2 linked regions of the Diceros bicornis minor genome follow. The protein of the gene in region 1 purifies or fractionates together with the protein of each later gene. This does not show direct contact. Links are inferred from orthologs where the notes say so. Each region holds a gene or a part of one and is shown on either strand. Other genes may lie near its edges. The genes, in order: ZNF219 and CDK2AP1.

Region 1 (15,549 bases):
CAGGAGCTCTGGGCGAAGTTTGCTTGGGGCCGAGCCGGCGCCCCTCCCCCGCCCCCGCCCCCTGCACCTGCTCCGAGCCGGGCGCGCGGAGCAGGCCCCCCCTCCGGGAGGGGGGGAGGGGGCCGGGGGCGGGGGCCGGGTGGCGGAGGGGGGGCCGGGAGTGGGGGGAGCGGCTACTCACGAGCCCCGGGCGGGCGGCGGCGGAGCGGGCGGCGGCGGCGGCGGCGGGCGGCGGGCCGGCGGCGCGGGCGTCAGCGTTACGTGGGGCCGGGGGAGATGCGCCGGGCCCCGGCCCCCCCGCCCCCGGCCCGGCCCCCGCCCCCTCCCCGGTCCCCCGCCCCCGGCCCTGGCCCGCATTGTGTGCGGCGGGAGGCGGCCCGGCCATTAGCATGCGGGGGGCGGCGCGGCGGGGCTGGGAGCCGCGCGGGAGCGGGAGCGGGGCTCTGGCTCCGGGGACAGGGAGCTGGGGACCCCGGGAGCCGCGAGAGGCGGCCGCCAGGGGCGGGGTGCGGGCAGTTTGGAGACGGGGGGCGCTGTCGGAGGGAGGGAGGGAGGGAGCGGGGGTGGGGCGCACAGACGATTCCAACAGGAGACTGGAAGAGATTTTGAAAGGTCATCTCGTCCTTCCCCCAGCCTCCAAGCAGGACTGCCCCTCCCACCCTAAACCCGGACATACCAGGGAAGGAGTTGGCTCTGCCGCTCTTTCTGCCCCAACATGCACAGACTCGGGAAGTTCTTCCTGGGGTTTTATCTCAAAGCCTCTCCCTTACAATTTCTGTGTCTCTTTTTGGGGAGGAGGAGGGGCGATTATAGAGATAGTTAATGTCTGCCGTATAAGAAACATCATTAAAGTTACTCTTCGGTCCTTTCTGTTCTTGATTAAACAACAATTCCTGCTCCTTCCTCTCGAACTCTCTTTTCCATTCCTTAAGTCACTTTAATGGCTCTTCAGTACAACAAATATTTACTGAGTGCTTACTAAGTACCAGGCACTATGCTTGGCGCTGTGGGGGATGAGCAGATGAGGGGGATGTAGTATCCTCCATCAAGGAGATTGTAATCCAGACAGGGACTACACATTTGTGCGTAGTATATTCAGATTTAGTCAATATTTACTGAATGCCTGTTCACATATTTAATGGTATATAATCCTTACAATAACACTCTGAAATATAACTAGTCTGCACTTAAGGTAAGAAAAACGAGCCTAAAGAATGTCTTTCCGTTGGCCTACCGGCTCAGGGGTCCTCGGTGCAAGCCTAACATCTGACACTATGTCAGGCCATCACCACCAAATACAGTTAATGCACCCGGGGATCCAAGAGGGAGTAGACACACAGCAGTTCCCAGGGTCCCTTTAAATGTGATTCCCACTCCCCAGGAAAGAAGAGTGGACACAGTGCTCCAGTGAGTGTTGGCCCAGCACTGAGCAGGGCAGAAGTGGCTTACAAAGAAAGCTCCTTGCCTCCTAGGACCCTGCCTCCTGGTACTAATTCCCAGGGGTCTTCTGGCTCAGCCTTCTTCTGTCATCAATAATAATAATGATAATAGCCACTAACATTTATTGAGTGCTTTGCCAGGTGCTGGGCTAGGCTGATTCATATGCATTTTCTCTTTTAATATGTACTCAAGGCAACCCCTTGAGACTGGTATTATTAACTTCCCTTTATAGATAGGGAAACAGAATGATTAAGTAACTTGCCCAAGGTCACCCAGGTAGATCTGGGATTTGAACATAAGTCTGGTTGCTTCCAGACCTCAGGCTCTGCACCAAGATGGGCCTTTCCTATTTTTGATCTTTAGAGTATATATGTTCTGCTTCTTACTGTAGAAACAAATGTCCCCAGCTTTGCATCTGAATAAACCCTGTAGTATATGGGCGTCAGGCACATCAGTATGACTTCATCAACACCACTAATGGTCATTAAACACCCACCATGAGTCAACACTTCACAGTCATATTATTAGCCACCGTTTTAACACTCAGTTTGAACAAACTGAGGTTCAAATAGATAGAATAATGTATCCAAGGTCACACAGCTGGGAAAGTGGCAGAGCTGAGATTCCAGTCCAGGTCTGCCTGGCTGCAAGGCAACTTCTATCTCTCAGAAATATTAATTGTTGCAATACTGTCCTTCCCAAGACTGGCCATTTGGGGACCATCTTCTGTACATGTCTAACTGCAGGTTATCACTGAGTCAAAAGCAATCCCCTCTATAAATAGGGCTCCTCATCCACCTAGTCCCATCCAGAGTAAGTCCTTCAAGAAAGGAAGAAGAGAAGAGAAACTGTCCAGAAAGTGAGGGAAGGAAGCCAAGGGAATTAAACCTTGCCTGGTCTTGGGACAAAGCTGCAAGTGGTAATGACAGGGGACCAATCCAGACGGTAATATGGGATTTCCCTAGGGAACAACAAGTAATTTGAGGAGGATGCCAACAGAAGAAGAAAGATTAGATGGAAATGGGGGGAAATTGGGGCCTAGGGTGGTAGTGTCCATGGGGATGAGGTGAGTATTCAGAAGAGGGACCCAGGATGGGCAGAAATGGGGGCAAAAGGAAACGAGAACAGAGCGAGGCAGGGCTGGGAGTCTTGTGGAGTGAACTGAGGCTGGTGTCTACCGACGGCCACTCCCTGGATCCTTAGGCCCTCATGGGGACCTTTGCCCCACCACACCCCAGTTCTGACAGCGTGTCTCTCCCAGGACAAGTCTGTCATCTGCTCTGAGCTACCAGGTCCTGCCAGGAGCTTCAGGCCCAGCTGTGTCCCATCTCTTTTGGAGGAGCTGCTTCAGACTAGGTAGGTGTGAGGCCCTGAGCTTCAACTCCCTGGATATTGGAAGTGGGCAGAGGGGCAGCTGAAAGAAATGTTGCTGCACGTCCTGTCTCCTGATAGGTGTCATAACTCATTTTTCCTGGCCTAGGAAGCACTGAGCTCCATTGGTCGAGGGAGCCATGGAGGAGAGAGCTGATCAACGAGAGCAGGAGAGACCCAGCCTTCGTCTGGAAAAGCTACAGCACTGGGCAAGGCATAGGTGGAGTGGGCACCTCCTGGTGCTGGCGGTGAGGCCAGGCTGCCCCACCCCAAACTTCAGCATGTCCACTTGTAGCCCAATTCAATTCCATCCATGTTTAGTGAGCACCCACCATGTGCCTAAAACTGTGCTAGGCTCTGAGTGGGAGGAGGGGGGTGGAGGAAGCATAGAATAAACAAGGCAAGACCTTTAATCTCCAAGTAGCTTCCATCATTTGGGGAAAACACATAGGTAAGTAACTAAACTGTGACATGAGGCAGAAAAAAATAATGCCCTCTCCCTTCACTGCCCTTGGTTGAGTACTTTCTGCCACCATGCATTCCTCCCAATTGCTGACCTCTGGAAGAGGAGGGGTTGACAGGAGGGAAGGGAATCCCTGACAGTTCCCCAACTACCCTGCATCCGGCCTCCAGGTGAGCCAGCTATGGCTGGCAGTGGCTGTGGTGCCCTTTGCTGTCTCAGTTGCTTGCTTGAACTCTGCCTGTCATATGGCCACAGCACTGCCACTTGGGCCTGGAGCATTGGTAAGACCCACCACAAGGGAGGATGGAAGGTCCTGGGGGCCCCTCTCTAATGGGGCCAGAGCTCAACACTTGCCTTTCTCACCATTCAGGGTCTCCTCACTGGGATTATTACCCTTGAGCTGCGCAGAGCACCCCGCCTCTGGAAGGTGAGAGGGGAAGAGAATGCAGTACTATTCTCCCACCCCCCAAAACAGACACACACACTCTCAGCCCAGGAAGTGGCTAAGTGTTGACTAATCCTGTCAGATCTCTGCCCCTAACTGGCCTAAAAGATTCAGGAGGGAAAGCAAGAAAGTTAGAGGGCTGATGGCCCTGTTTGGAGGTGGAGGAATAGGAGCTGAGTTTTGTTTTCAGCTAGGCTGCAGGTGGGGCTTGGGGTTCCAATGCGTCCCCTAGGCTGGACAGGGCTGAGCTGGCTCACTGGCAGGTGCGGGCCATGATGATATTCAACACCTTCAATCTGATCTTGGGCTTCATCGCAGTGGTGGTCGAGGTGATGAAGACAGCCTTGGGGCCTGCCTCAACTGCCCCCTCCCAGGTACGGGTGAATAAAGGAGAAGGTGGGAGGATGAGGAGGCAAGAGGAGACGGAGAGAGAAAAGGGCATGGGCAAACAGATGCTGGGTCCTCTGCAGCATCCTCAGCCCTGTCTGCCTACAGCTGGCCGGCTTGCTGGTGCTGGAGCTCAGTGCTGAGGCCTTCACCCTAGGAGGAGTGCTGGTCTCAGCATACTCCCTGTTCCTGCTGAGCCAGAGGAAGCCAGGATGCTGCAGGAGCCAGAGTCAGCACTACCAGGAGCTGCAGGAGGTAATGAGGGCTGGGAGGAGAGTTTGGAGCAGCTAGCTAGCAGCTCATTTTTTCACTGGCTATCCTGGTCAGTGGTACTTCAGGGAAAACAAGGGGACAGAGGGGAAAGGAAGGAGTCCTAGACTGAAACTGATTGGTTTTCTGGCTTTGGACATTTCTCCCCCAGTGGTGGGTAAAAGGGAATTGGGTATCTAAATGGTTGGGGCTAGAAATGTGGGAGAGCATTGGGAAGCTGCCTAAGTAGTGGAAGGGCTACAGGAACATGAGAAGAAATGGCAGAGGAGGAGGAAGTTGCTTCTATCTGGGATTCCTCCTTTCTCACCCCTACAGTTTGCTCCCCTCACACCTCTGTCTGGTTTTTAGGGTCTCTCTGAGTTGGAGGAAGTTCCTGATTTGGAGGATGGTCCCAGGGTGGCTAGCACAGCAAACGGAACAAATGAGTGAGCTGGCAAGGGGAAGCAGACAGGTGCTGCTCTCCCGCCCTGCGGGAGCGTTGTCCAAACTCTCCTGCACCCCACCGCACTGAACTCAGAAGCTAGAAGGAGTCCCTTGAGACCTACATGAAGTCCAGCGGAGTGCCTTCGATTTTCACTCACACTAGGCCCCTTTCTAGACTGTAGACCAGAGTCTTCCCTCACCTCATCGCCCTGCAAAGCTGCCCGCTTGCAGAGCATCCTTAAGCCAACTTTGAGCTATGCCCACTTCTTCCCTTCCATCCTTACCCTCCTTCCCCACCGCCTCCCTATACAACTTCACATCTGCCTCATCTCACTATTTCTCTTCTTTCCACCTTTCACAATCCCATCCACTCCAGGCCCGGTTCCTGGAAACGCCTACTCTCTGAAATCAATTCATGGGTGCTTCAGTTCTCTCCCTTCGATCCTTTCTACTGTAACGGAGACTACAAGTCCCAGGAGGCCCCGCTGCCCCGTAGCCTGCTGGGAAATAAAGGGCCTTCCCTCCGCGGTGGGGGCGCTGTGCATCTGCTGAGTGACGCGAGGCGCTGGAAGTTGGGGCCTAGCCGAGTTTCCTCGGACGCGACCACTGGCCTCGTGTGTAGGGAGGAGCGGGGCGGGTTATTGTGCGTGGGGGCGCGACATCCCAACCTCGGCAACTGAGAGCTCACTGTGGGCCCCCACCCTTCCCTCTGGCAGCTTCGGAGACTGGCAGGGGCTGGAGGCTGGCCCTCTGCAGAGCTGGGGTTTCCCAGATGCTGTCGCCGCGCCCCCACCCACCGTGCCCAGGTCCAAAGTCCTGAGACTTGGAGCGCGCGCGAGAAAGGGGTTGGAGATGATGAGTCAGAAGCCTAGGGCCCTTCTCGTCCCCCTCCCCCGAGGCCTGGGCGCCTGAGGAGGACAGGCTCGCTGGGCAGAGGGGTGGACCGGGCAGGAAGAGGGAGGGACGCGGCGACCCGACCCAAAACTTTCCCGCCTCTTGCGAGCACGCGGGTGTAACGAGCCCGCGTTGCCGCCGCCCTTTCTCTCCAAGGCGGGAGCGGGACTGCGCAGGCTCGGCCTCTCGGCAGCCCCGCCGAGACCTTTGATCCCCCTGCAGTCCGGTTCCTGAAGTCTGGTTGCGCTCAACCCCCACCATTTATGACCTTTGCAAGTGTGCAAAGATGACAAGCTCAGGTGGGCTGGAGAAAAGCCCAGGAAAACTGGGAGACCCAGTAGCAGCAGCCGGGCAAGTTACTAGCCGCTAGAGAAACTAGAAATTGACCAGAGCTGGAGTACTGAGAGAACTCACCCCAAATTCACATAGTGCCCAGGATGGTTGTGCGCCTCACACTCATTTTTGTTCCCACTTGAGAAGGCTTCTTTCCCTAGAGAATGCTGCTTCTCCGGGCTCAGCCAAGCCCAGGCACCAGTGAGGAAAGAGCGCAGCCTGGCTGCCTGGCCCTGACATTGCAGTGGTGCCAGCGGCAGCCCCTTTCTGTTTGTGACACCTTGGGAGTGGTAATAGTCGCCCTATGACAAGGGTATGTGAGTACTAGTGGGTGGAGACAATTCTCTAGGATTAGGCTCTGGAATGGAGAACACAAGATCTGGGCCTCCCCCTTCCCCTCCTCCTTCCAATCTATCTGCCATAATGGAGAGCTCAAGTGTGAAGGACTCAGAAAATAATTTTCTTCAAAATCAGAAGGTGGTAGTAGATGTGGGGGGAGGGGCAGGGAATCAATAATTTGCTGTCACCCTCTTCCAGAGAAGAGCAAGAGCCTTTAGCGTTATGATCAGAAGTCTAGGATTTGCATTCTAGTTCTTGGAGAAGTTCAATGACCATGCAAGTGAACCTTGTGTCAGTCAGGTTGGGCTAGGCTATATTGTGTAACAGTGCCCAAATCTCAATGGCTTAAAATCACAAAAGGCTTATCTCTCACACTGCATGTCTAGGGTAGTCTGGCAGAGGGCTCTACTCATTATAAGTTATTCAGGTACCCCAGCCATGGAGCACCACCATTTTGAGATCCTACCATGTCGCCATGAGGCTTAGAGCACCCCCCCACCCCCACCCCAGCCGTGTGAAGTAAGAGTGAAGAATTGTTCATGGGCTCTTAAATGCTCTGCCCCAAAAGGGACACATATCACTTCCATTCACATTTTGGTGGCCAAAGCAAGTCATATAGCCACACTCAACTTCAAGACAGCTAGAAGGGCAATCTTTTCATATGCCTGGAAGGAGAAGGAAAGCAGAAATACTTCATTAAAAGAAGAAGAGTTCATCATTTGTGGTGATTCTCGAACAGCTTAGCAGTTGGAACTCATCCATTCCAGCAGTTATGCCCATATCTACTTTTTGGTTTTGTTCCATGAACCACTAAATCAAGTTCTTAATAGAAACTTTTCCCAAAAAAATAATAGGCCTGGGAATCAGGAAAACTAGATTCTGGTCTTGTTGTGTAAGTTTGGGCAAGTCAAACGTCCCTGAACTACATTTTGATTACATGGAGATTATAATCATAGTATTTATCCTCTCTACCTTACTGGAGTATCAAGGCTAAAATAAAATCACACATTTCGTTTGGAAAGGAAAAATACTTTAAAACTATAAAGTGCTTCAGAGGTTGAAAATAAATTGCCTATGGGGACAAGGAGTAGTGTAAATGAATAAAGCAGATTGGGTATGTATGAGGTTATAATAGAGAGTGGTGGGGACTGTGGCAAACGAGAGAGCACACATTCTATTTAAAGACCTTACCCACACTCAACTCCATCCAATTATTGCCACGTGGGACTGTGGGCCTGGTATTGCCATAGTTCCAATTTTCCTGTAAAAGTCAGAAATTCTGACTTTTTAAATGTGAAATCTTCTGATTTTAAAATGTTAATAACTAACTTTTTAAAAATTGAGAACCAGATTCAGCCTATAGTCCTTCAATTATAGTCTCTCCGTTATACAAACATATGGTAGGAATTTGGGTTTGGGATGTGCAATACGGTTCTCATAAGCCTTCGAGATGTCTTCTGAAATTCAAGAATCTTGGAGAGGTTTAACATTACATTCTTAAAACCTTTTTATCACATCCCTCCACCGCATTCATTCTCAGGGAGAGGGCATTTTGCCCCCCAGGGATTATTTGGCAATGTCTAGAGACATTTTTGGTAGTAACAACTGGGGCGGGGGGGAGATGTAACGGAAGGAGCATTAGATGAGAAGTCAGAGGATTGGAGATTTAGTCTCAATGCTATTGATGCCCCTTTCCTGTGCATTATCCTCTCCTAGCTGTAAGTAAAAACTGCCTGAGGACTGTCCTGTGATCCTCATTATTCCCGCACCACGCTCCCCATTGCTGGAGTCCCCAGCTGCTCCATGAAAGCATTCTGCTTTGCTGCAATGCTTCCCAGCAACCACTGTATCTGCCCCTTTCTTCATCAGTTTGGCAACCTCTGTGGAAGTCACTCATATTTTACTTGAACTGCTGCCCACTGGAACTTCACAGAAAGAAATGACTGGACAATGTTCCTCCTGACGTCAGTTTTTAAAGGCCTTGACCCCTATCCCTTGCTTTAAGCATTGGAGAAATATCCGATTCATATGTGGCTTCATATGCAGCTGAATTCTGTGGTGGTTGGGACATGTTGATAATTTTATCCTCGTTTCTTTGAAATTCAGTCATTTATTCTGGCCTTAAATACATGATTATAGGCAACGGACGGTATTTCCCAAAAGAAATATCCACTTTGCAAATGATTCTGGTTTTGTGTCCTGGGCTGTGTCCTCTGCTGCCATCTCGTGGCCTCTCTTCGCGGCTGCCCGGGTCCAGGTCTCACAAAGAGCCTTCCCGCGAGGTAATGGCGTATGGCAGTGGCTAAATTGGAGAAAAAAATCTCTGCACGCTGCCGGGCGCTCCCCGAATCCTTCCCCTGCAATGAGTGCACCAGGGCAGCCGCGCGCGCGGCTGCACCTCGCGAGGAGGCGGGAGGCGCGGGGCCCTTCCGGGTCATCCTCACCCCCTTGGGCCTCTATGTCTGTCTGTTATGCAATCCTGGACACGAGCCACAGAAATCAGTGAACTAACTACCGGGGAGTAATCGGAGCTGACCTCGCCTGCTTGGCCTGATGAATGCTCCGCAGCCTCTCGCCACACGCCACCTGGGGCTGGGATCTTTTTTTTTAAATTTTTGTTTAATCTCAGTGAGAAGAGAAGATTCCCTCGTTGGGTTTCTGGATTTCGTTTTCTTGTCTGGGACCATTTCGTGTTGCTGTGTCAACGCCCTTCATCTCGGTTTGCCCAGCCAGTGCTGCCTCAAGTTCGGTATTTGACTGATGGGTTAAGCAGAACAGTGGCAGTGTTTCCTATAAATATGGCGGGATCTGTGCACTGTAGCGATCAGAGGTCCATCTCCAGGGGACAGGGAGTCTGGGAGACTGCCGTGAGCTGGGTTACTGGCCACTGAGCAGTGACTCCGTGCAGGAGGGAAGGCAGGAAAACATTTTTACTTGGCGCCAATTTTTTTTCATTATAATAATGTGTTAAAAACCTTCCAATTGCTAAAGCAAATTTGTAGAACTATCCTTCAGTTGTTAGCTCCCCGTGTGTGCTTTCCATATGTTTAGTTTTTTATGGAGAGCCCTGAATCTACTATGCCCTCATTACGCCTAACCCCAGAAGAGGAGAGGGAAGAGGAAGAGGAAGGAAGAGGAGGGGAAGGAGGAAGAGGAGAAGAAGAAGAAACTGCTGCCTTAGTGTTTGTTTTCACCTGCTTTCTCTGTATGAAAATTCAGGGGAAAGGGGGGCCTGCCTGGTGGTGTAGTGGTTAAGTTCTCCGGGTCTGCTTCGGAGGCCCAGGGTTGGCTGGTTCTGATCCTGGGTGTGGACCTACTCACCACTCCTGAGGCCTTGCTGAGGTAGCCTCCCACATAGAAGAGCTACAACTCTTCAACTATGATACACAACTATGTGCTGGGGCTTTGGGGAGAAAAAAGAAAAAAAATTGGGGGGAAAGGGCCTCCTTGTATAATTTCCTAGGGCCTCAAGCCAGGGACTGGCTGCTACTAAGCTGGTGTGTGTTGCTTCTCTTTAAAATTCAGATGCTGTTTACTTAGTAGGAGCATCTTCTGTTTCTTTTGTTTTTCCTTCTTTGCCTGTGTTTTTTCTGCCTTATTTCATTTATATTTTATGTTGCGTGTTATTCTTGATTCTACTTATCATCTGAATCTTTGGTTTCTTTTTCTTATCAGACACTTTTCCTGTATTCTGTCCAGAGTGAATGAGTTGTCTTTGTTGATCCCTGTCTGTTTTTCCTTGCCTTTGTAAAATTTTCTTCTTTAAAATGCTTTTCCTCAAATCCAAGCTCCAAGATATAATTTCATTTGTTTGGCATCTTTATAATTTTGTGCTCCCTTTATGTGTAAAGAAAATGCTGTGCATTTTTAAGGAAAATCTTATGGTTTCGGTAAAGCGAGAAGACTCAAAGTCATGGCATAGAAGAAACAGGATTGATGTCTTTATAAATCTCAAAGATAATTATGATGAAGAGAAACTGTTCTTTGTGAAGCGAAGAAGTGAAGTTGGGTCCAATGGTTACTTGTTATGGAGAGGCCGATTTTAGACCAAAAAAGGGAAGAAACTGAACACCTTTCCAAAGATGAGCTGCTTTGAGTTGGCCTCTCAAACTCTGGATGTGTTAGAGGTGTTTTGTGCAATGCACTTCTGCACTGATAGGTTGTTGAAGCAAGTATTCAAATATCAGCTGGATGGTTGGAGTAGATGACCTTTAATTTCTTCTCCAACACTAGGATTTGGTTTCTCAGCAGTGGTGGTGTTTTTTAATTGACCCGTCCATACTCTCTAATCGGAATGACTGGCCCTAGGCAAAATTGTAAAGTATTCTTCTAGTCCTTAGAAGAGAGTTCATCAACCATGGCACTGCTGACATTTGGGCCAGACCATTCTTTGTTTTGGAAGACTGTCCCAGGCGTTGTAGACTGCTTTGCAGCATCCCTGGCCTCTAACCACCAGATACCAGTAGCACCCCTCCCCCAAGTTGTGACAACCAAAAATGTCTCCGGACGTTGTCAAATGTCCCCTGGGGAGCAAAATAGCCCCCTCCTTGAAAACCAATGCCCTAGAGAGAAATGATAAGAAAGATTTCAAGAACTTCTTTATGTCTAATTTCTCCAAGATTCTTGTATTTAAAGAGACGTACAAAGACCTACAAGAAGCTTATTGCACATCCAAAACCGAAAATACTCCCCTTGTATCTGCCGCCTACTCCCTCTTCTGAATTTTCAGTCTTATCTGGTGTTATCATTTGGACACACAAGCTGAATGCTAAATTCCTCTCCCTTGTTTCCTATAGCCAAATACTCATCACATTCTATAGATGTTCCTGCTGCTCTCGAATCATCCTCTTCTCATCACCACCACTCCTGCCCCAGTGCAGGCTCTCATCTAGATCACAGAAAAAGCTTTCTAAATAGTTTCTATGCCTCCAGGCTTGTCCTCCTCAGATACATCTTCCACATAGCCACATAAATGTGACCATGTAGCTTCCCTGCTTAAAAGCCCTCCAGTCGTCCCCATCACCTATAAGATCAAGTCCAAGCTTTTTAAAACGGTTCAGTGACCCCTGTGATCTGGCCCCTGGCTGCCTTTCCAGTGTCATCTCCCACATCCCCTCCCTTGCACTTTACTCTTCAGTGACAGCAATCTGAGGAAGGTGGCATGGGCATGCAGCCTTAAAATTTTTTTAAATTATTAATTAATATGTATGATAAACACTTTCACCCCATCTTTGAGCTTCACGCTCTCCCTCTTCCTCTTTTTTTCTTTTTGATTAGCCCAAGGATGATGATGATGACAGCTCTGACTCATGGTGGGCTGGGTGGAGGTCAGGGCTGTTTGTTGCGCACATTAGTGAGAAGTCAGAACAATGAAAACACTAGTGGGAAGTCAAAGCCATATCACGTCAAAATAGCTAAGTCAAAACATCTGACTTTGGCACATATATTTCTTACTTCCATACCTTATTCAAGCTCTAGTATCTCGTCCTCCCCCCAAACCAGCCCTTTGTATTGCTAACTGCTCCTGATCCTTTATGACTCACCTCTGTCCTCGCCTACTTTCCTGGCCTCTCCCACCACCGCCAAGACTGTACTCTTCAATGCTCCCTTAGTGCTGTATACATAGTTCTATACTTACAAGATTTTATTATGAGGCGGTCAGAATACGCCACCCCGAAATATGCCAATTTAGCATAAGGATTGTTTTGAGCTGAAGGCAAATAAGAAGCAGCAAACTCAGAAAGAGCTCTCCACCCTCCCCCATCTGCCTAAAAGTAGGACATAAATTTCCCTTTGTGAAGGTCTTCCCCCTCCCCGCTCCTGTAGCAGGAGGAGTTATTGCCATTATCACTGCAGACAGAGAGTCAGCACTCTGAAGGGTCTGCACAAACAAACCTCACTAAAATAGCCCTGATCCTCCATCAATTCTCCCATATATTTACTTTCCCACAATTTACCACCCCTAGAAGCCCAAACCCGCTTCCCTTTGTCTTGTGACTTCTCCACAATTTCTTACCCTTTGTTAAAATGGTATATAATCCCCTGTGTCTAATCACCTCTCTGGGCCTTCATTTCTTTTCTATGGAGACCCTTTGTGCGCATAGAAATTAAAATATTAACATCAAATAAAATTTGTATGCCTTTTCTCCTGTTAATTTGGCTTCTGTCAATTTACTTTGCAAGCTCCAGCTACTAAACCTAAGAGGATAGAGAAAAGGATTTTTTCCTCCCCTACAATTGAAATTATCATTTATGTGCCCATCTCTGAGGCAAGAACTGTGTTTTATTCATCTTTATAACTCCAGAACCTAGCCAAGTGAATGGCATATAGGAGACATTCAATAAGTGTCTACCGAATGAATGCATAAATAGACTAAGTCAGAAGGAAACTTACAAGGCTTTCTACTCAGCATAGAAACTCTTGTGCAACATCCTGGCAGACGTTCAGTCTCAGCTAAAACATTAACAGTAATGGTGCCACTGGAGAAAATCGCTCAAACACGGCAGCTGGTGCCACAACAGATTCATCATCTCAAACTGCAACTAGATCCTAAAGGCTACACAATAATACTGCTATTGGAGCCCTCAATTTCCACAGCTGCAACTTCAAGTTTGTTACCTGGTTCTCAATAGTCATTCCAAAGTGCATCTGGAAGAATAAAGAAATGATAATAATGGAAGGAAGGAAGGAAGGAAGGAAGGAAGGAAGGAAGGAAGGAAGGAAGGAAGGAAGGAGGGAAGGAAGGAAGGAAGGAGGGAGGGAGAAAGGGTGGGAGTACTCTTACTCTAACAAGAAGAGTAATAAGGTGAGACTTGGTCTATCAGCTATTAATGTATATTAAAGATAAAAAAACTAAGACAGCATGGTATCAGCACCAGAATAGACAGATAGATGAATGGAACAGAACAGAGAGTCAAAAAGAAGCTCAAGAGCTGGCCCCGTGGCTTAGCGGTTAAGTGCATGCGCTCCGCTTCTGGTGGCCCAGGTTCGGATCCCAGGTACGCACCGACGCACTGCTTCTCCGGCTGTGCTGAGGCCGCGTCCCACATACAGCAACTAGAAGGATGTGCAACTATGACATACACCTAACTACTGGGGATTTGGGGGAAAAAAAAAAGGAGGCAATAGATGTTAGCTCAGAGCAGGTCTTCCTCAGCAAAAAAAGAGGAGGATTAGCATGGATGTTAGCTCAGGGCTGATCTTCCTCACAAAAAAAAGAAAAGAAGAAGCAGCTCAAAGGCCAGCCTGGTGGCATAGTCATTAAGTTCGGCATGCTCTGCTTCTGCTGCTCGGGTTCACTGGTTGGGATCCCAGGCATGGACCTACACAACTCATCAGCCATGCTCTAGCAGCGACTCGCATACAAAATAGGGGAAGATTGGCACAGATGTTAGCTCGGGGCCAATCTTCCTCACCAAAAACAAACACAAAACAAAAAAACTCAAGTATCTACAAAAATTTAACTTATTTTAATAGCACTATTTCTTATCATTCAGTTAATTACAAACTGATTTTTTCAATAGATGTTGGAACAACTTCATAACTATTTACAAATAAATTAAGTTACACTTCTCTTACACACCATACACCAAAATAAGTTCTAGATGATTAAAGACTTAAGTGGAAAAATCAGAACCATAACAATATGGGAAAAAATATGGGTAAATATTTATATAATCTGGGGAAGATGAGATCTTTCTAAGTATAACATTAGCGGCAGAGACGATAAAGAAAAAGATTGAGAGATTTTATATTAAAAATTTTAAACTTTCTAAGCAAAAAGATCACAATAAAGGTAAAGTTCAAATGAAAAGTTAAGGCTGACAAAGAGTAACATATGGCTAAAAGATTGTTAGCATAACATTGAAAAGAAGAGAAAAATTGGGAAAGACAAAACTGCCAATTTACCAAAAAGAAAGAAATTTAAATGCCTAATAAATCTATGAAAGATGATTTACAGTCATAGTAGTTGAATAAATGCAATTTAAAACAATAAGATGCCATTTTGGACCAATCACATTAACAATTTTAAATACATAAAGTTCATTATTGATGACTATGCAAGGAAACTGGTACTTTCTTATACCTCTGATAGAACTGTAAGTTGGTACAATGGTAATGAAAAGCAATTTAACAACTTGTACCTACAGGTTAAGAATTGCCTACACTTGGCCCAGCAATTCTTTTTTTTTTCCTTCTTTTTTTCAGGTAATATTATTTTATAACAGTATATAAATTTCAGGTGTACATCATTAGACTTCGACTTCTGTATAGACTATATCAATACGCCACCAAAAATCTAGTTTCCATCTGTGACCAAAACAAATATGCCCTTTTACCCCTTTTGCTCCTCCCTCCCCCCTTCCCCTCTGGTAAACACGCATCCAATCTCTGTCTCTATGTGTTTGTTTGTTGTTGTTGTTGTTGTTTCATCTTCCACATATGAGTGAAATCATACAGGTTTGGCTGTCTCTGTCTAACTTACTTTGTTTAGCATAATACCCTCAAGGTCCATCCATGTTGTCACAGGTGGCAAGGTTTCATCTTTCTTATGGCTGAGTAGTATTCCATTATGTAAATATACCACATCTTCTTTATCCATTCACCCACTGATGGGCACTAAGGTTGTTTCCAAGTCTTGGCTATTGTGAATAACGCTGCAATGAACATAGGGGTGCAAATATCTTTTTGCATTTGTGTTTTCATGTTCTTTGGATAAATACCCAGAAGTGGAATAGTTCTATTCTAATTTTTCTACAATAATCCTGGATTACTTAAGTCTTTTTAAAAATATGTTGTAGAATAGTATTTAATGAAATAGAGGAAATACTAATCATATATTCGTATATTATTAAACCAAAACAGTATATTTGAATAATCCCAATTTTATTGTAAAAATACACAAATTATATAGAAAAAGACTGACTGGAAGTATATATGCCAACATATTAATGATTATATTTCAATGGGCTGATTATAGGTGAATTTTTTTTTTTGCAGGAGATTCTCCCTGAGCTAACATCTGTCACCAATCTTCCTCTTTTTACTTGAGGAAGATTGGCCCTGAGCTAACATCTGTTGCCATTCTTCCTCTTTTTTTTCTTTTCTTTTTTTTTTTGCTGAGGAAGATTGGCCCTAACAGCTGTTGCCAATCTTCCTCTTTTTTTTTTTTTTGGTGAGGAA
Region 2 (16,093 bases), on another chromosome or scaffold:
AGAAAAATAATGATTGGCCAAGAAGCCCCATCAGAGGGAAGACACCACAGAAAGAACGGTTTGGCACCTGCGAAGAGCGACTAGATGCCTTTGCCTTATGTGTGTATGTGATTAAATCCTCCCTGCCCCTGTGAGGTGTGAGTACCCTCACTCTCGCTTTACGGATGAAGAGACAGGCATAGAGGTGAGGGAGCCAGCAAGGAGTGGGGTCCCATCCAACCCAGGTGGTCTGGGCCAGGAGGCAACGCTTCTGTCCTCTAGACCTGGAGAAAGGCAGTGGGAGGGAGGGAGGATGGGGAGGCACGGATGGATTTTTTTTTAATGTTTGGAATATGGCTTGTTTGTGAGTCTTCTCTACGTGGGGTTTGAAATGCTTGAGAGAAGCATTCAATTTGTAGCTTGAAATGCTTAAGGGAATTGAATCAAATTTGTAAATGGTGTTAACGTTCAGGGGAATTTAATCTGTTAAATACATGAGATAATTGAGCATTAACTGAAGAACAAGTGAAAGGGAGTGTTTTACATTTTAACTTAAATTTTACTCAAATATTTGTAAGTTGAGCTTGAAGTCTGAAAGGAAACTTGTTTTTAAATGTTATAACCTTAATAAGTTGAGTATTAATTTGAATCAGAAATGAGAGACCAGACTTCATATGGAGCCTCCACCATCCCCACTTTTTCTGTTACAGTTCTAGTTTGCTTGGACCCTGTTCCCTTCGGGCTTTTTATCTGTGCCCAGGTCTGTGTTCAGCCTCGCCGTGTGCCCCTGGGCCTCCTTGCTGCTGGCATTTGGGCCAGGCCATTCCGGGGGTGGGGGCATGCCGTCCTGTGCATTGCAGGCTGTCGAGCAGCATCCCTGGCCTCCATCCGCCAGAGGCCAGTAGTACACACTGCAGCCCCCACTGCCAGTTGTGACAACCCCAGATGTCTCCAGACATTGCCAAACGTCCTCTGAGGAGCAAAATCACCCCTGGGTGAGAACCACTGCCCTAGGCAAAATAGTCACAAAGAGGCAAAAAGCTGGTGTCTGTGATCTGTGTGTGTGCACACACCAGTGTGTGTTTTCCGGAGGACAAGGCCCATGTCAAGGGGGCACCACCCCTGATATATAGAAAAAACGAACGTTAAGTGGCTCGGGGTTTGGAGTGTGTACAATACAATTTCCATAAGTATGAATATTTATCAGCTAGTCATTTGAGAGCGTGATGTAAAGAAGCCATCTGTGGAGGCCTTTATGGAGAGAAAGGAGGCTAAAAGAAATGTGCAAAATGCTTATTTTTAGAGTCCAACTCTCGGCAAGTTGGCTTCATCCTCTGAAAGCCGCCCACTCGGGGTGTCGAGTGCATTACTGGGTTAGGAGAGGCGAGTGCCACGCTGTGTGTTCCAAACCATCGTCCTTGAGTTAAGGATCACCACCGAGTATCAGGCAAGGATGGGATGGCGAGGGGGATGCTCAAGTAGTCTGGATACTTAATTTTTATGTTTTCGATGGGTTGTTTGCTTGAATAAGCAACACCCGCACATGACAAGTCAACAGGCAGATGAGAACAGACAGCGAACATTGTTTTCTCTCTGCCCCTGCCGCTGGCCCCGTTCCTCTCTCCATGGCAGTCATTCGTGCCAGTTTCTTCAGGATCCTTTCTTGGGGAACTTGAGAGGGTAAGTTTTGAGCATCACAAAAATGCTCTAGCTTCTGTTGTTTACCTTTGGTTCCAGGCAAGACTGATTTTCCCAAAGATCGATGTGCGAGCCCTTTAATTACTGGAGAAATCCAAACTAGAATAAATTATTAATTGTAGGAAATTGGGAAATTCAACAGCATGAACCTTCAGTAGAAAGTTAAGTGTTTTGTGTAGATGCCCACTGATTAGAGCAATAGGAGGCCACTAGAATTCCCCCTTTCATCTCCCCCTTTCATCTCTAGTCATAGATCAAGATAAATGAGACAGTGCTCTCAATTCCTGCATTAATATTGGGTTTCTTTTAGTTTTCTGTTCCCACAGTTGGGTGTTTTTGCATGTGTGTTTCTCATTCAGAGGTATGGATATGAAGATGGGGTCATGATGTCCTCACATGCTTGCACATCCCATTTTTATTGTTCTACCCATAGGGAATCAGCCTTAAGAAACAAACTTTTGTGGTCTAAAACAGACTGGCCAACTGGTCTGCCGGTCAAATCCAGTCCACCACCTGTTTTTGATCCTGCAAGCTAAGAATAATTTTTACTTTCCTAAATGGTTGGAAAAAAAGAAGTTTTGTATCATGTGAAAATTACATGAAATTCAAATTTGTGTTCATAAATAAAGTTTTATTGGAACCCAGTCCTGCCCATTCTTTTACGTATTGTCTCAGGCCGCTTTAGCACTACAGTGGCAGAGCTGTGTATTAGAGACTATACCGCCCGCAAAGCCTACAGTACTTAGTATTTGACCCTTTACAGGAAAAGCATGCTGGCTCCTAGTCTAAACACAGGAGTGATGGCAGAAACATAATTGAAAATTAAGAAATTTGGGAGTGGACCTCTGATCAAAACCCAACTTGATATAAATGTGGCTTTACTGTCCTGAAGACATAAACCACATTGGAATCCCTAACTGTGACAGGCTAATCAAGACACTTCACCCACAACTTGTCTGGCTGTCACACTGTTAGGTCTGGCCATCTACTTAACTAGTTTTTTGGGTCAGTGGTCTGCAAACATTTTTGGTCACATATTCCAATTAAAAAAAAAACCGGGCTGGCCTGATGGTGTAGTGGTTAAGTTTGTGCACTCTGCCTCGGTGGCCTGGTGTTTGTGGGTTTGGATGCCAGGTGTGGACCTACACACCGCTCATTGAAACTGTGCTGTGGTGGCGTCCCACATGCAAAATAGAGGAAGACTAGCACAGATGTTACCTTAGGGACAATGTTCCTCAAGCAGAAAGGAGGACGATGGGCAACAGATGTTGGCTCAGGGCCAATCTTCCTCACCAAAAAAATAAATAAAAAGTAAAAAAAAAAAATTTCTGAGCATACCTCCACTACTGTTTAGGAAGTTATTTGTAACTTATATATGTGCTACTGTGCTAATATGTACATGGTAAATCCCACATAAATAGAAGTTCTAATAGTCCCTCACTCTTCTGAGTCACCCTTCTTACCACCTGGGCAGGTGCACCCCAGTTGGGAGCTGATTGCCCCAGAATGTTGTCCAGTGATGGAAACAGTTCCAAATGTTTCAAAGGCCTTCCTGGGCTGATGTTTTTTCATTAGAGAAAATGGCATGTGTGTTGTTTGTCTGCCTTCTTAGGATGTTAGAATTTCGAGAATTCTTAGAGCTCCATCCCATCAAACCTCCCTAGTCTCACAGATGCAACTAAGGCCCAGGGAGTTTAAACAACTGATGTGAGGCCTACAGAGAGGTTTATGGTGGATCCACAGCTGAAACTCGTCTCCTGATGTTCTTCCATGCCAAGCTCTTTCCCTGGGCTCCCCCTTCTCTCTCTTTCATTCATCTGCTCTGCTCCCTGGCAAGCCACTCTGTGAAATGCCCATTAAACTATTAGGGAACCATTCTGGATCATTTGGAAACTCCTCATTAAAAGGTGCCTATTTGAGTGAGTTTCATACAGATGCTTGTTAGTGGAGCCACTAGGAATATTTCTTTCCCCTTGTAGGGGTTTTAACTCTTAGAGAAGGAAGAAGAGAAAGGGAAAACAATCCAGATCCTTTTTGAAGCCTGTTGTAGTGGGTTGAATGGTGGCCGCCAAAAGATATGTCCACCTGGGATCTGTAAATGTGACCTTTTTTAAAAAAAAAAGGTCTTTGCAGATGTTAACTATTTAAGGTCTTGACGAGATCATTCTGGATTAGGGTGGGTCTTAAATCCAATGACAAGTATTCTTAGAAGAGAAGAGAAGACACATAGAGAAGAAGGCTGTCTGAAGGCAGGATGGGAGTGATGCTGCCACAAGCCAAGGAACACCTGGAATCCCTGGAAGCTGAAGAGGCGAGGGCCCCTCCCCTAGAGTCTCTGGAGGGAGCCTGGCCCTGCCAAAACCTTGATTTCAGACTTCTGGCCTCCAGAACTGTGAGAGAAGAAATTTCTGTTGTTTTAAGCCACCAAGTTAGTGGTAATTTGTTATGGCAGCCCCAGGAAACTAAGACATCTGTTATGGAAAGAGTTGTGAGCAGGAAGAATGGTGAGAGCAGGAGTCCTTCCTGCAGAGGAGAGCTGATCACACTTTGTCTCATTTCTAGGAGCACTTTGAGGCCATTATAAGGCTCAATGTGCCTGTCTGGAACCTTCAAGAATGTAGTTCTTTCCTTCAAGAAGCTCAGCCTCATGAAGGACACAGACCGGATTAAGTGCCATAGCAGGCATTGACAGAGGGGCAGCCAGCCAGGGAAGACTTTTCAGAGGTGGGGATGGTTGAGCTGGGCTTTGAAGGATGAGCAGGAGTTTGCCAAGTGGAGCACAAGGGCAAGTTGGTATAATGAAAGTTCAGATGTGGGAATGAACCAGTACCAGGGTCATAACCCAGTCTGGTCTGAAGAATAAGAACTAGTGGGAGGCTAGGGGTAAGGAAATGGCTCCAGTGTGGTGGGGTATGAGGGGATAGCTAAATGTGGCTGCCATGCCTAGAACAATAAGCTTCATGACAACATGGGGATTGTCTTGCCCTGCTGCCCCTAGAATAGTGCCTGACACTTTGGAAGACTCTCAATAAATATTTGTTGAATAAAGGAGAAAACTCATGACCTTCTCAACAGATGCAGAAAAAGCATTTGACAAAATCCAACTCTCTTTCATGCTAGAACAACAAACTGGAGGAATGGAGGGGAACTTCCTCAACTTCATAAAGGGCATCGATGAAAAGCCCACAGTTTACATCAAACATAGTGGTGAAAAACAAATCTTTCCCCCCTTTAAGATCAGGAACAAGACAAGGATGCCTGCTCTCACCAGTTCTATCCAACAGTGTCCTCGAGGCTCCAGTCATGGCAGTTAGGCGAGAAAGAGGAATAAAGACATCCCATTTGGGAGGGAAGAGTAAAACTATTTGCAAATAATATGATCTCACTACAGAAAGCCCTAAAGAATTTACGTACAGACACAAAAAAACTACTAGAGCTAATAAGTGAGTTCAGGAAAGTTGCAGGATATAAGACAATATACAAAAATCAGTTGTATTTCTATACACTAACAATGAACAATCCAAAAATTAAGAAAACAATTCTACTTACAATTGCACCAAAAATAATGAAATACTTGGGAATAAATTTAACCAAAGAAGTATAAGACTTCTACACTGAAAACTATAAAACATTGTTGAATTAAAGAAATAAGACCTAAATAAATGGAAAGACATCCTGCGTTTGTGGATTGGAAGACAGCATGCAGTTAAGGTGGCAATACTCCCTGAATTGATGCACAGATTTAATATGAGCTCTATTAAAATTCCAGTTGCCTTTTTTTTTTTTGCAAAAATGGACAAGCTGATCATAAAACTCATAGGGAGATGCAAGGGACCCAGAATAACCAAAACAATCTTGAAAAAGAAAAAGTTGGAGCACTCACACTTTCTGAATTCAAAGCTCACTACAAAGCCACAGTAATCAAAGCAGTGTGTTGTGGCATAAGGATAGACAGATAGATCAATGGAATAGAATTGAAAGTCCAGGAATAAACCCTCATATTCACCATCAAATTGATTTTCAACAAAGGTGTGGGACCCATTCAATGGGGAAAGAATAGTTTTTTCTTTTTCTTTTTCCCCCTTTTTCTCCCCCAAGCCCCAGTAGATAGTTGTATGTCATAGCTGCACATCCCTCTAGTCGCTGTATGTGGGACGCGGCCTCAGCATGGCCAGAGAAGCAGTGCGTCGGTGCGTGCCTGGGATCCGAACCGGGGCTGCCAGTAGCAGAGCGTGCGCACTTAACCGCTAAGCCACGGGCAGGCCCCCAAGAATAGTCTTTTCAAGAAATGGTGCTGGGACAGCTGGATATCCACATGCAAAGCATGAATTTGGACCTACCTCACCTCATACACAAAAATTAACTAAAAATGGATCAAAGACCAAAACGTAAGAACAAAAACTATAAAAACTCTTCAAAGAAAAAACAGGTAAAAATCTTCGTGACCTTGGATTAGATATGATACCAAAAGCACAAACAAACAAAAGAAAAAAGTTGAACTTAAGCAAAATTTAAAACTTGTATGTGTCAAAGGGCACTATCAAGAAAATGAAAAGGCAACTCAGAATGGGAGAAAATATTTGCAAATTATGTATCTGTGAACAGACTAGTATCCAGAATAAAGAACTCTTACAACTTAACGTTAAAAAAAAAACTCAATTAGGAGGCTGGCCCAGTGGTGTAGGGGTTAAGTTCTCGAGCTTCTCTTTGGCGGCCTGGGGTTCGCAGGTTCAGATCCCGGGCGCGCACCGACGCATTGCTTATCAAGCCATGCTGTCGTGGCGTCCCATATAAAGTAGAGGAAGATGGGCATGGATGTTAGCCCAGGGCCAATCTTCCTCAGCAAAAAGAGAAGGATTGGTAACGGATGTTAGCTCAGGCTAATCTTCCTCACCAAAAAAAGCAACAACAAAAAAATTCAATTAAAAAAGGGTAAAGGATTGAAATAGACATTTCTCCAAAAAAGATATACAAATTGCCAGTAAGCACATGGAAAGATGCTCAATATCATTATCCATTAAAGAAAGGCAAATCAAAACCAGTTCACACCCACTAGGATGCCTAAAACAAAAAAGCCAGATAATAAAAGGCTTGCTGAGGATATGAAGAAATTAGAACTCTTATACACTGCTAGTGGGAATGCAAAATGGTGCAGCCAGGAAGGAAAGTAATTTGGTAGTTCCTCAAAAAGTTACACATAGAGGGGGCCGGCCCGGCCCCGTGGCTTAGCAGTTAAGTGCGCGCTCTCCACTGCTGGCGGCCCGGGTTCGGATCCCGGGCGTGCACCGACGCACCGCTTCTCTGGCCATGCTGAGGCCGCGTCCCACATACAGCAGCTAGAAGGATGTGCAGCTATGACATACAACTATCTACTGGGGCTTTGGGGGGAAAATAAAATTAAAAAAAAAAAAAAGTTACACATAGAGTTACCATATGACCCAGCAATTCCACTCCTGGGTATATACCACAAAGAACTGAAAACATGTTCACACAAAAACTTGTACATAAATGTTCATAGCAGCTCTATCCATAATAATCAAAAAATAGAAACAACTCAAATGTCCATCAAGATGGATAAACAGAATGTGGTCTCTCCATACAGTGGAATATGATTCAGCCATAGAAAGGAATGAAGTACTGATACATGCTACAACATGGATGAACCTTGAAAACATTATGCTGAGTGAAAGAAGCCAGACACAAAAGGTCACATATTGTAGGATTCCATTTATATGAAATGTCCAGACTATGCACATACATAGAGACAGAAAAGTAGATTAGCGGTTGCGTAAAGCTGCAGGTAGTGGGGAATGAGAAATGACTGCTATTGGGTATGGAGTTTCTTTTTGGGGTGACAGAAATGTTCTAGAATTAGATAGTGGTGGTGGTTGCACAACTCTGTGAATATACTAAAACCCACTGAATTGTATACTTTAAAAGGATGAATTTTATGCTAAAGGAATTATATCTCAATTAAAAACAAAAGGAAAAAATTTTTTTCAGTGATAATCGGGACTTAAAGTGAGGGGGATGGGCGATGTGGTAAAAAATGCAGTATTGAAAGAGAATAGCCTGGAAAATTCATAGAAGGGATCAGCGCAGGCCACTGAGATCTGGATTCTTGCCCCAAGGAAACAGAGGCCTAGTCAAACAGCTAACAGGTGGTGGAGGCAGAATTAGTACCCAGGTGTGTCTGTCTTATGAGCCCCCTGCTTGTAGCTTGTAGCCCTGCACTGTCCAATAGGAAGCTGCTAGCTATTGTGGCCACTGAGCGCGTGACATGTGGCTGGTCTGAATTAAGGTAAGCTGTGAGTGTCAAATACACGCTGGGTTTTGAAGACTTAGTACCATAAAAAGAACATAAAGTATCTTAATAATTTCTTTATATTCATTACATATTGAAATCATACTGTTCTGGATATATTGTTAAATAAAATATATTATTAAGATGAATTTCACCAGTTTCTTTTTACTTTCTAAAATGTGACTACTAAAAAACTTTAAATTACATATGTGGCTTGTAATATATTTCTGCTGGACAATGCTGCTCTAGAGTATTGGGCCCCTGGAGGCAGGGTAGAAAGGGGTGTCATTAATTTATTCAAGAAATGAAATTTCACTGGGCACTCTTGGCTGAGCTAGCCTAAAGCTGATCACCAGAGGTGCTCGTTAAGCTGGGGAGGGGGTGTCACTTGCACCTTCCATCGGAAGGGAAGGCATGGGTGGTATCCCTTCTCTCCTGGGCGGAGAGGTTGACGCCCTCCTCAGTAGATCCAGATGTGTCTGAATGTCTCTAATTTAAACATCTGCAAAGCATGGCAATTAAAAACGGCAGAAAAGGGTGGGTATCTTGTAGTTTGACGAGCTTTACTATTTAAGCAGAACTCCAAGAAGCAGTACCTTCAAAAGCTTAGTCATCTAATCCAAAATGTTTGATGATTGCGCTTCAGGCAGATCTGAGGATGGGCTGGGGTGGGGTCGAGGGAGGGTTAAAAATTATAATGCCAACTCCAGGAGAGTAGAAACTTTGCCAAGTTCATTCTTGTGTCCTTAGCGCCTGGAACCCTGCCGGCACACAGTAGGCGCTTCTTAAATATTTGAATGAGTTAAGATGCAAAACTATGTGGATGCGAGGGTGAATTTTGCAGGGGAGGAGGCCCCTCACTTTTGTCAGTGTCAAGGGAGTCTAGGCCCCCAAAGGGTTAAAAACCACTGAACACAGACAGGGACATGAAATTTATTTGAAATCAATGTCAAGAATTGGTTGCTCTTCTTCTGGGGAGTAGCCAGACCTCGGCGTCTGGAATGATCTATGTGCTTAAAAATACCACTCGCCACCATTTTCTCCAGGTAATTTTCCATCCCTGCCCCCACAATCAAGGGGAAAAAAAGTAATTCTGCAATCCTACCGAGCTATTAAAAAAAAAAAATTAAGCGGTAAAATAGCAAATCTCCCGGCGCTGAAAGCGAGGAGGAAGCAAGGGACCCACGCGGGCCTCGGGCGCCGCCGGGACCCCAGCCCCCCAAACTTTGCCAAGTTGCGGGCGCCGAGCGCGCCCGGAGGCGCGGGGCGCGGCCGCGGGCGGAGCCACCCCCTGACGCCGGGCCGCGGCGCGCCGGGCCGCCCCCTCCCGGCCCGGGCCGGCCCCGCTGGCTCCGCTCAAAGTTTGCGGCCGCCCCTGCGCCCGCGCGCCCGCCCGATGTATGGGTGATATACTGCAGCGGGTGTCAGGGTGAGGGACGGCCATATTTGCCGGTGCGGCCCGAGCCGTCAACAACAAAAAGTGCGCGGGAGCTCGGCGGGCGCACGGACGGGCGCACGGACGCCGGGGCCGCCTCGCCGCCGCCCGGCCTCGCCGCCGCCGCCGCCCTCGCGGGCCTGGCCCCGCTGCGCCCCGGCGCGCCCCGCCGCTCGGGGGGATGTCTTACAAACCGAACTTGACCGCGCACATGCCCGCCGCCTCCCTCAACGCCGGTGAGTGGGTGCGCCCCGCGGGCCGCGCGCGCCGCGCCCCAAGTGCCGCCAAGTTGGAGGCCCGCGCGCCTGGCCCCGGCCCCGGCTCCCGGGGGCCCGCGGCGGCTGGGGGCGGCGGGCACCGGGTCCCGGCCCGGGGCAGCGCGGCCGCCGCCGCCGCCGCCATGATTCCAGCGCCCGCGCCGCCAAAGTTCGCGGGTGCGCCCCGCGCCGCGGTGGGCCGGGGCCAGCGCCGGGGCTCGGGGCGCGGGCGGCCCCCGCCGTCCCCCCCACGCCGGCGGCCGAGGGCTCGCGGGGAGCGCGGCGGGCGAGGGCGGGGGAGGCTTTTCTCTGCTCCTTTTTCCTCCGGCTTTTGGGCGGCTCGGCGAGGGCCCCTGCCGGCGGGAGTGGGGAGCAGCCGGGCCGCGCCGGGAGCAGGGCACGGGGCGCGGGGCGCGGGGCTCGGGGCTCGGGCTGCCCTTGGGGCGCCGGGGGCAGGCCCGGCGGGGGGCCCGGCTGCAGGGGTGCACGTGTGCAGGACCAGGGCACGCGTAGGCAGGGCTGGGGGGCGGCGGCGTGCCAGGTGCAGCGGCTCCTGAGGGCGCGGGGTGGCTGGGGTCACCGGCGGTGCAGGGCACTGGCTCGTCCGTGGGGCTCGGCCTGGCGCGCGGGAGCGGGGGTCCCAGAACAGGGCACAAGGGAGGACCCCGCAGGCGTGCGCAGAGTGAAAGCAGTTGGAGAAGACCGGGGGCTTCTGAGTGCCTGCGGGCGGTGAATGGGGGCTGCACTTCAGCCCGGGCCCCGCATCGCGGAGCCCCCAGTCTGGACCTAGAAGGCCCCCTCCTGCAGAAGCCGGGGGGCCATCCTCTCCCCTCGGGGCTGGAGCGGGGCGGTCTCCGGAAACTCCTTCAAAAGTTGCTCGGCAGCTTCAGGCTGTGCCCAGGGGCTTGCCCCAGGGACCGAGGGAGACATCGGGGGGGAGGTAAAATCGTGGAGTTCAGGGGTAACCGGCTTTGTCTGCTCACCAGGGTCCTTCTCCTTTAGACACTTGGTTGGAAACAGACTTGCAAAAAAGTGAGGCGCGTTGGGGGTGGGGGGGGCAGAGGCCTTGGGGAGGGGATTGGCCTTGTTGGTCAGAAATGCCACGTTGGCAGTTGGCCGCAAGTTTGGGGCCTTGTCTCCAAACGTTGACTCCGTAACTCCAAAAATCTGAAGAGGGACCCAGAAAAGCCATATGTATATGTGTGTGTGTGTGTGTGTGTGTGTATACACACACACACACACACACATATATTTTTTAACTTCTTGGACACAGATTTGGGGATTGGAAGGGTTAAGATTCAGGGTGCGGATGGGGGGATAGTTGAATTGGTCAGATGTGGGCTCTGAACCCCAAGAGCAAACAGCCACTGTTTTCTCTGATGTCCCCACCTCCTCTGGGGTCTGCAGACCTCACCAAGACAGGCTTTGTGGCCAGGTAGGATTCTCGATGCCTCCTGCATCTGTCTCTGAGGTGGGAGGGGTGGAGGTCTGGCTGCCTGCCTGGACAGAGGGGAACTCGCAGGCCTGCCCTGGTATAGTTGGGGCAAGAGCCCTAAACTGGGACCTTTGGGGATTGGGGTCACAGAGTGACAGGGGCACCCACTCAGAACCCCTGAAGCCCTGTTCTAGTCTGGCTAGCACCTGTACACAGGTTTTCTTCTTTCTCCTGTGGTGAATTCCAGGAGCAGTGCTGAGGTCCCCAGATCTCTGGTGTTTTTTTGGGGGGGTCTTCCCCCCTCCCCGTGGACCCCTTAGGAAGCCCTGATCTCCCCCTGCCATTTGCATCCAAGATGGACTCTCCGCAGCCGCTCCTCCGGCTTCCTTGTCATCATCCCTCACGCCCTCCAGCCCTGCCTCCTGCTCACGGGTTGCCAAGCCGCGGCCTGGCCGGCGGTGGCAGTGGCTGAGTTAGACAAAGCCCCCGCCTCCCTGCCGGAGAGCGCCCCCCCAGGCGCCCCAAGTGGCGGGAAGGCCGCCAGCTCCCCAGGCCCAGGCCGCTCTTTGTCTGGCGTGGGGGCGGGGAGCTGCGCCTGGCCCCAGGAGCTGCTGGCCTCTGCCAATCCCTCCCTCGGCTCCAGGCCCTCCCTGGTCCCCGCACACTGCACGCATTGTCTGCGATGCTCCAAGAAGGCCATGCTCACACCCAGTCTGGCTTTCTCCCTGGCCTCCTGCAGCCCGACCCGCTGGCCCTCCCTGTGCCTGCAGGAAGGAGTGGGCACGAGTGGAACTCGGGGCCCTTCTGCCAACTCTCTCCAGGACCACAGACACCCCCCTCTCAACACAGAGTAACGGATGGGCACTGGCACAGAACCGGGGTCTCCCACCACGTCACCCAGGTGCCTGAGCTGTTGCCCAGCTCCTCCCCCACCCCAAACCAGGCGATTTCTCATTCCTCGACCCTCTCCCTTAGCCCCCCAAGACCTAACCCCAGCACCATGTAAGAGCAGGATCTGGAGCCTTTGGGCATTCTGCTGGGAACGTTGCCTCAAACAGATGGAGAAACTGAGGCCCAGAGAGGGAAGGGCCTTGTCTAAGGTCTCACAGCCAGGTGTGTCAGGCTCAGCCAGACCAGCCCCTAGTCCAGGCCTGTGCCCATAGGAGAGGAGACGGGTCAGGGAGGCGGGAACTCAGTAAAGAGAGCAACCAGAGGAGGAGGACTCACCTCCTGCCAGGGAGTGAAATCTTCCAGACACAGTGAAGTGCAGTGCAGTGATACATGCCCCCACCCCCCCAGTCTCCATTTAGCATCCTGGCCTCCTAGAGGGGTGCGATAACTTGCCGTGGTCAGGATTGGAACCCAGGTCTGGGGCTGCGAAGCCTGAGCGACCCAGACCATGCTCACTGCCCACATCAGAATGTTCAGGAAATTGGGGTTTGGCTGATGTGGAGGGGAGCATGGGGGGACACCCACCCTGCCCCATCCCTCTGCTCTGGCCCCTGTGCACCCGCGGCTGCCTTGGACGGAGGTCGCAGACATGCTCACAGTGTGTCCCTGTCCTGAGCAGCACGTTCCAGCAGCGCAGGCGGATGGCAGCTGAGGCTCCGGGCAGCACAGTGATGTGCCCAGTTCCCAGCCTAGAGGTGGCAGAATTCTGTGTTTCCTGACTGGGTGTCCCGTGCTTGAGCATAAACCTAGGCCCCTGTGGGGAGATCCAGGGCAGGGCTGTGACGGAGGAAGACGTCTTGGGTACCAAGCTGTCCCCAGCTCCCAGACAGAGGGGCGGGCGTTGGGGTGTTGGCCTCTCCTGTGCTGTGTGGCCTGGGGCAACGCCTACCCTCACTGGTCTGTGTTTCTCTACAGGGAGGGGCTCCAGGGCCCTCTAGGGCCCCTTCCAGCTCCATCTGCCTGAGCTCCTGAACTTCCTTCCTCCCCTGCCCCTCCCCTTGCCCACACCAGATGGGCAGCTGGTCGCTTTGGCCATCCTGGCACCAGCTGTCCATCCCCAGGGCCAAGTCTGCGCAGCCTGCTGTGTGCGTGCGAGAGAGACCGTTTGGCTCTGGGGGAGGCAGGCAGAGGGGGAGCTACTCCTCAGCCGGGCGTGGAGGCAGGCGGGCAGCTGCCGAGGAGGGCTAGGTAAATTCTCCATGGTTACTGCTGTTTGTAATTCTGCAGGACATCCTTTACCCGCTAATGGCCACCCGGGCGCCATTATGGGTCTGCGTGCTTCCAGCTACTGAGCTGGAGCCGGAAAATTCCCTGCTGAGGACCTTCCCATACCCATCCAGGAGATTCCATTCTGAGCCGGGCCCTGGCCCCACATAGTCCCTCACTGCTGAGGGACAGTCTCTGAGTGTTGCAGTCCGTAAGCAGGGCCTTACCCCTCCTCTTTTGGGGTGCGAGCCATCCAGGCGTAGAATCAGACTGTCAAAAGTCCTGTCCCCTCTTTGGGGAGGAGGCAATGGGCTCAGAGAGGTTGAGGGGCTTGTCTGAGGACACACAGGGAGGCTGTGATATACCCCAGATTCCTGACTTTGAGTCCAGTGCACTGTCTCCAGCCAGGGTTGGGTCTCAGATCTTCCAAACCCTCCCCCTGTTTTCCTCACCATATATAGTCCAGCAGACATTTGGGCACACAGGACCTCCTAGCCCCAGTGTGGACCAGCCTCAGTAGCAGGTGGGCTCTTGTGACAGCGATGTGACTCTAGGTTATTAACCTCTGGGGAGCAGAACCCAGGGAAAGGGTACTAGCAAGGATTAGGCTGAGAACAGCAGCAGATTTCATCCTTGGTACCAATCCTGACTGCATGGATGGGAAGGAGTTCTGTGATTGATTAGCGATGTCTGCTGTGGTGGTGTGAAGAGCAGTGGCCTGTTAGCTACGTTTTATTATCAATCATCTAGGCTGAGTGTCAGCCACGACCAAACTAGAGGACAGGAGCGGTTCTCTATCCTGTGAAAAGACCACTGTTGATGGCATGGGTCCTGGGCAGAGGGACTGTTGCAGGACCCAGAGTCCTCACTTTGGGTACCACTAGCCAAGGCTACCTGATTGTGATTCCTGACTCTTCTCTCCTTCCCCATAGCTGGGAGCGTCCACCCGCCCTCCACTAGTATGGCAACATCCTCACAGTACCGCCAGCTGTTGAGTGACTACGGGCCACCATCTCTAGGCTACACCCAGGTATGGCAGCAGGGCTGATGCATGGTGGGAGGGGCTCTGGGGTGGCCTGGGCACTGAGGGGACACGCTCCCCATCGTCTGGGGAGGGGAGTGGGTGGAAGAGATGAGGAGTAGAAATGACAGAGTGGAGCAGTCATGTGGGCCTCCTCAACCCAAGGCCTTGGCATCAGAACAGAGAGGTGGACATGAGAGATGGGAGGGGTGGGAGAGCCCAGGGAAGGCCCGAAGCCCTGAGAGCCACAGTTCCTGTTGGGGCCACCACCTGATGTGTATCCCTGGTGGGTCTCCTCGTGCCTGATTCCTGGGAAGGTAGGCCCTGACTTTGACTCTAGATCTGGGCTTGACAGAGGAGGGGGGACCCCATTCCCATCAGTCCCCACAAAGTCTGGCCCCAGAAAAGAGGAGGTTGGGGCCTGTCTCCTCATGGAGTCCAGATGCGTTTCATGGAGAGCTGGTGGTCCCTGAGTGAGGCCACTTGGGTTTACACTTGGTGCCACCACTTACGAGACTGTGACCCCCACTTGGCAACCTCACTGAGACTCAGTTTCCTACAGTCAAGTGGGGTTAACACTCGTACCAACTTCCCTGGGTTGGTAGGCACGTCAGTGGAGTAAGCCATAGCTTTAGCCACGGCCGGCACCGGCCAGGGAACTGCTGCCATGGGGAGGGACCTGGCCCGGTGCAGCCCTGGGTGCCATGCATCAGCCGCAAGATTCTCTCCCGTGGCTGGAACTCGGCCACGTTCTGAGGTCACCATGGGGCTGTCGCTCAGGTTGAGGTGGTGGCTCCCTGGCCATGCCCCGCCAGGCCGTTCTGTCCTGGGAGGAGAGGCAGGAGTGGGCCCGGGAGCGGGACCGCCTGAAGAAGCGGCGGCGGCGGTGGGAGGACAGGGGGAGGCGCAGCCTGGAGAGGAGGCAGGACCGGGAGGCCAAGAGGAGGCGCCGGGAGGATGCTGAGGAGCTGGCCAAGGAGAGGAGGACGGACCAGGGGGCCAAGACACAGAGGCGGCGGAGAAGGAGGGAGGAGCAGGCGAGGGCCTCTGGAGGGAAACGGCCGCCCTGATGTAGCTGGAGGAGGAGGAGGAGGAGGAAGAGAGGCCCGAGCAGGTGGCCTTGGCCCACAGGCCACTGGGAACCCAGCCTCCTTGATCTGGGTGCCTGCTTGGGGCTGTTGGTGGGGGTCTGGAGAAAAAGGGTTTCTGTGGGGTGGGCCCTACCCCTGGGGGAGGATGGGTGAATTTAAACACATTCTGGGGGGCCTGCCCGGTGGTGTAGTGGTTAAGTTCACATGCTTTGCTTTGGCGGCCTGGGGTTCACAGGTTTGGATCCCAGGCGCGGACCTATACACTGCTTATCGAGCCATGCTGTGGTGGCTTCCCACATATAAAGTAGAGGAAGATGGGTGCAGATGTTAGCCCAGGGCTAACATCTCAAAAAGAGGAGGATTGGCAACAGATGTTAGCTCAGGGCTGATCTTCCTCACCAAAAAAAATAAAATATAAATAAGCACATTCTGGGCTCCGTCCGATGGTCTTTGGCGATATTTGTAGTCCTGCTGACCCCAGGTGTGGCCTCTATCACGTCCACTTGCTCTGGACCCTCAGCCCCTGGGATGTCCTTGCTCATCCGTCCATCCGGGTCTCAGGAAATTCTCAGTGAACCCTTCCTTGTCGAGACGAGCCAGTCTGTTTTTTAATTTGAGATGATGAAGGAGCTTTGTGGGACTGGGGTGGTTTCCTTGAGTGTGCGAGGACAGCAGAGAGGGCTGCCCTGCTGGTCGGTAGGGGTCCCTCAGAGGGG

The links.
Region 2: the proteins of ZNF219 (region 1) and CDK2AP1 purify together in Homo sapiens (affinity purification with mass spectrometry; 3 studies listed by BioGRID and IntAct, counting the BioPlex papers as one, with this or other methods). This does not show direct contact. The link is inferred for Diceros bicornis minor from reciprocal best matches to the Homo sapiens genes ZNF219 and CDK2AP1.

What each region holds. Positions count from the first base shown.
Region 1 is NC_080744.1:28,176,800-28,192,348, reverse strand, and holds the start of ZNF219 (zinc finger protein 219), read right to left. Parts: upstream 6,227-15,549; 5' UTR 6,108-6,226; intron 5,480-6,107; coding exon of another isoform or gene 5,228-5,479; intron 4,806-5,227; coding exon of another isoform or gene 4,725-4,805; intron 4,362-4,724; coding exon of another isoform or gene 4,215-4,361; intron 4,094-4,214; coding exon of another isoform or gene 3,983-4,093; intron 3,702-3,982; coding exon of another isoform or gene 3,645-3,701; intron 3,556-3,644; coding exon of another isoform or gene 3,445-3,555; intron 3,060-3,444; coding exon of another isoform or gene 2,952-3,059; exon of another isoform or gene 2,921-2,951; intron 2,797-2,920; exon of another isoform or gene 652-2,796; intron 515-651; exon of another isoform or gene 182-514; intron 1-181. UniProt on the Homo sapiens protein: Transcriptional regulator. Recognizes and binds 2 copies of the core DNA sequence motif 5'-GGGGG-3'. Binds to the HMGN1 promoter and may repress HMGN1 expression. Regulates SNCA expression in primary cortical neurons.
Region 2 is NC_080774.1:7,091,660-7,107,752, forward strand, and holds the start of CDK2AP1 (cyclin-dependent kinase 2-associated protein 1), read left to right. Parts: upstream 1-9,376; 5' UTR 9,377-9,597; coding exon 9,598-9,652; intron 9,653-14,197; coding exon 14,198-14,295; intron 14,296-16,093. UniProt on the Homo sapiens protein: Inhibitor of cyclin-dependent kinase CDK2. Also acts as a component of the histone deacetylase NuRD complex which participates in the remodeling of chromatin.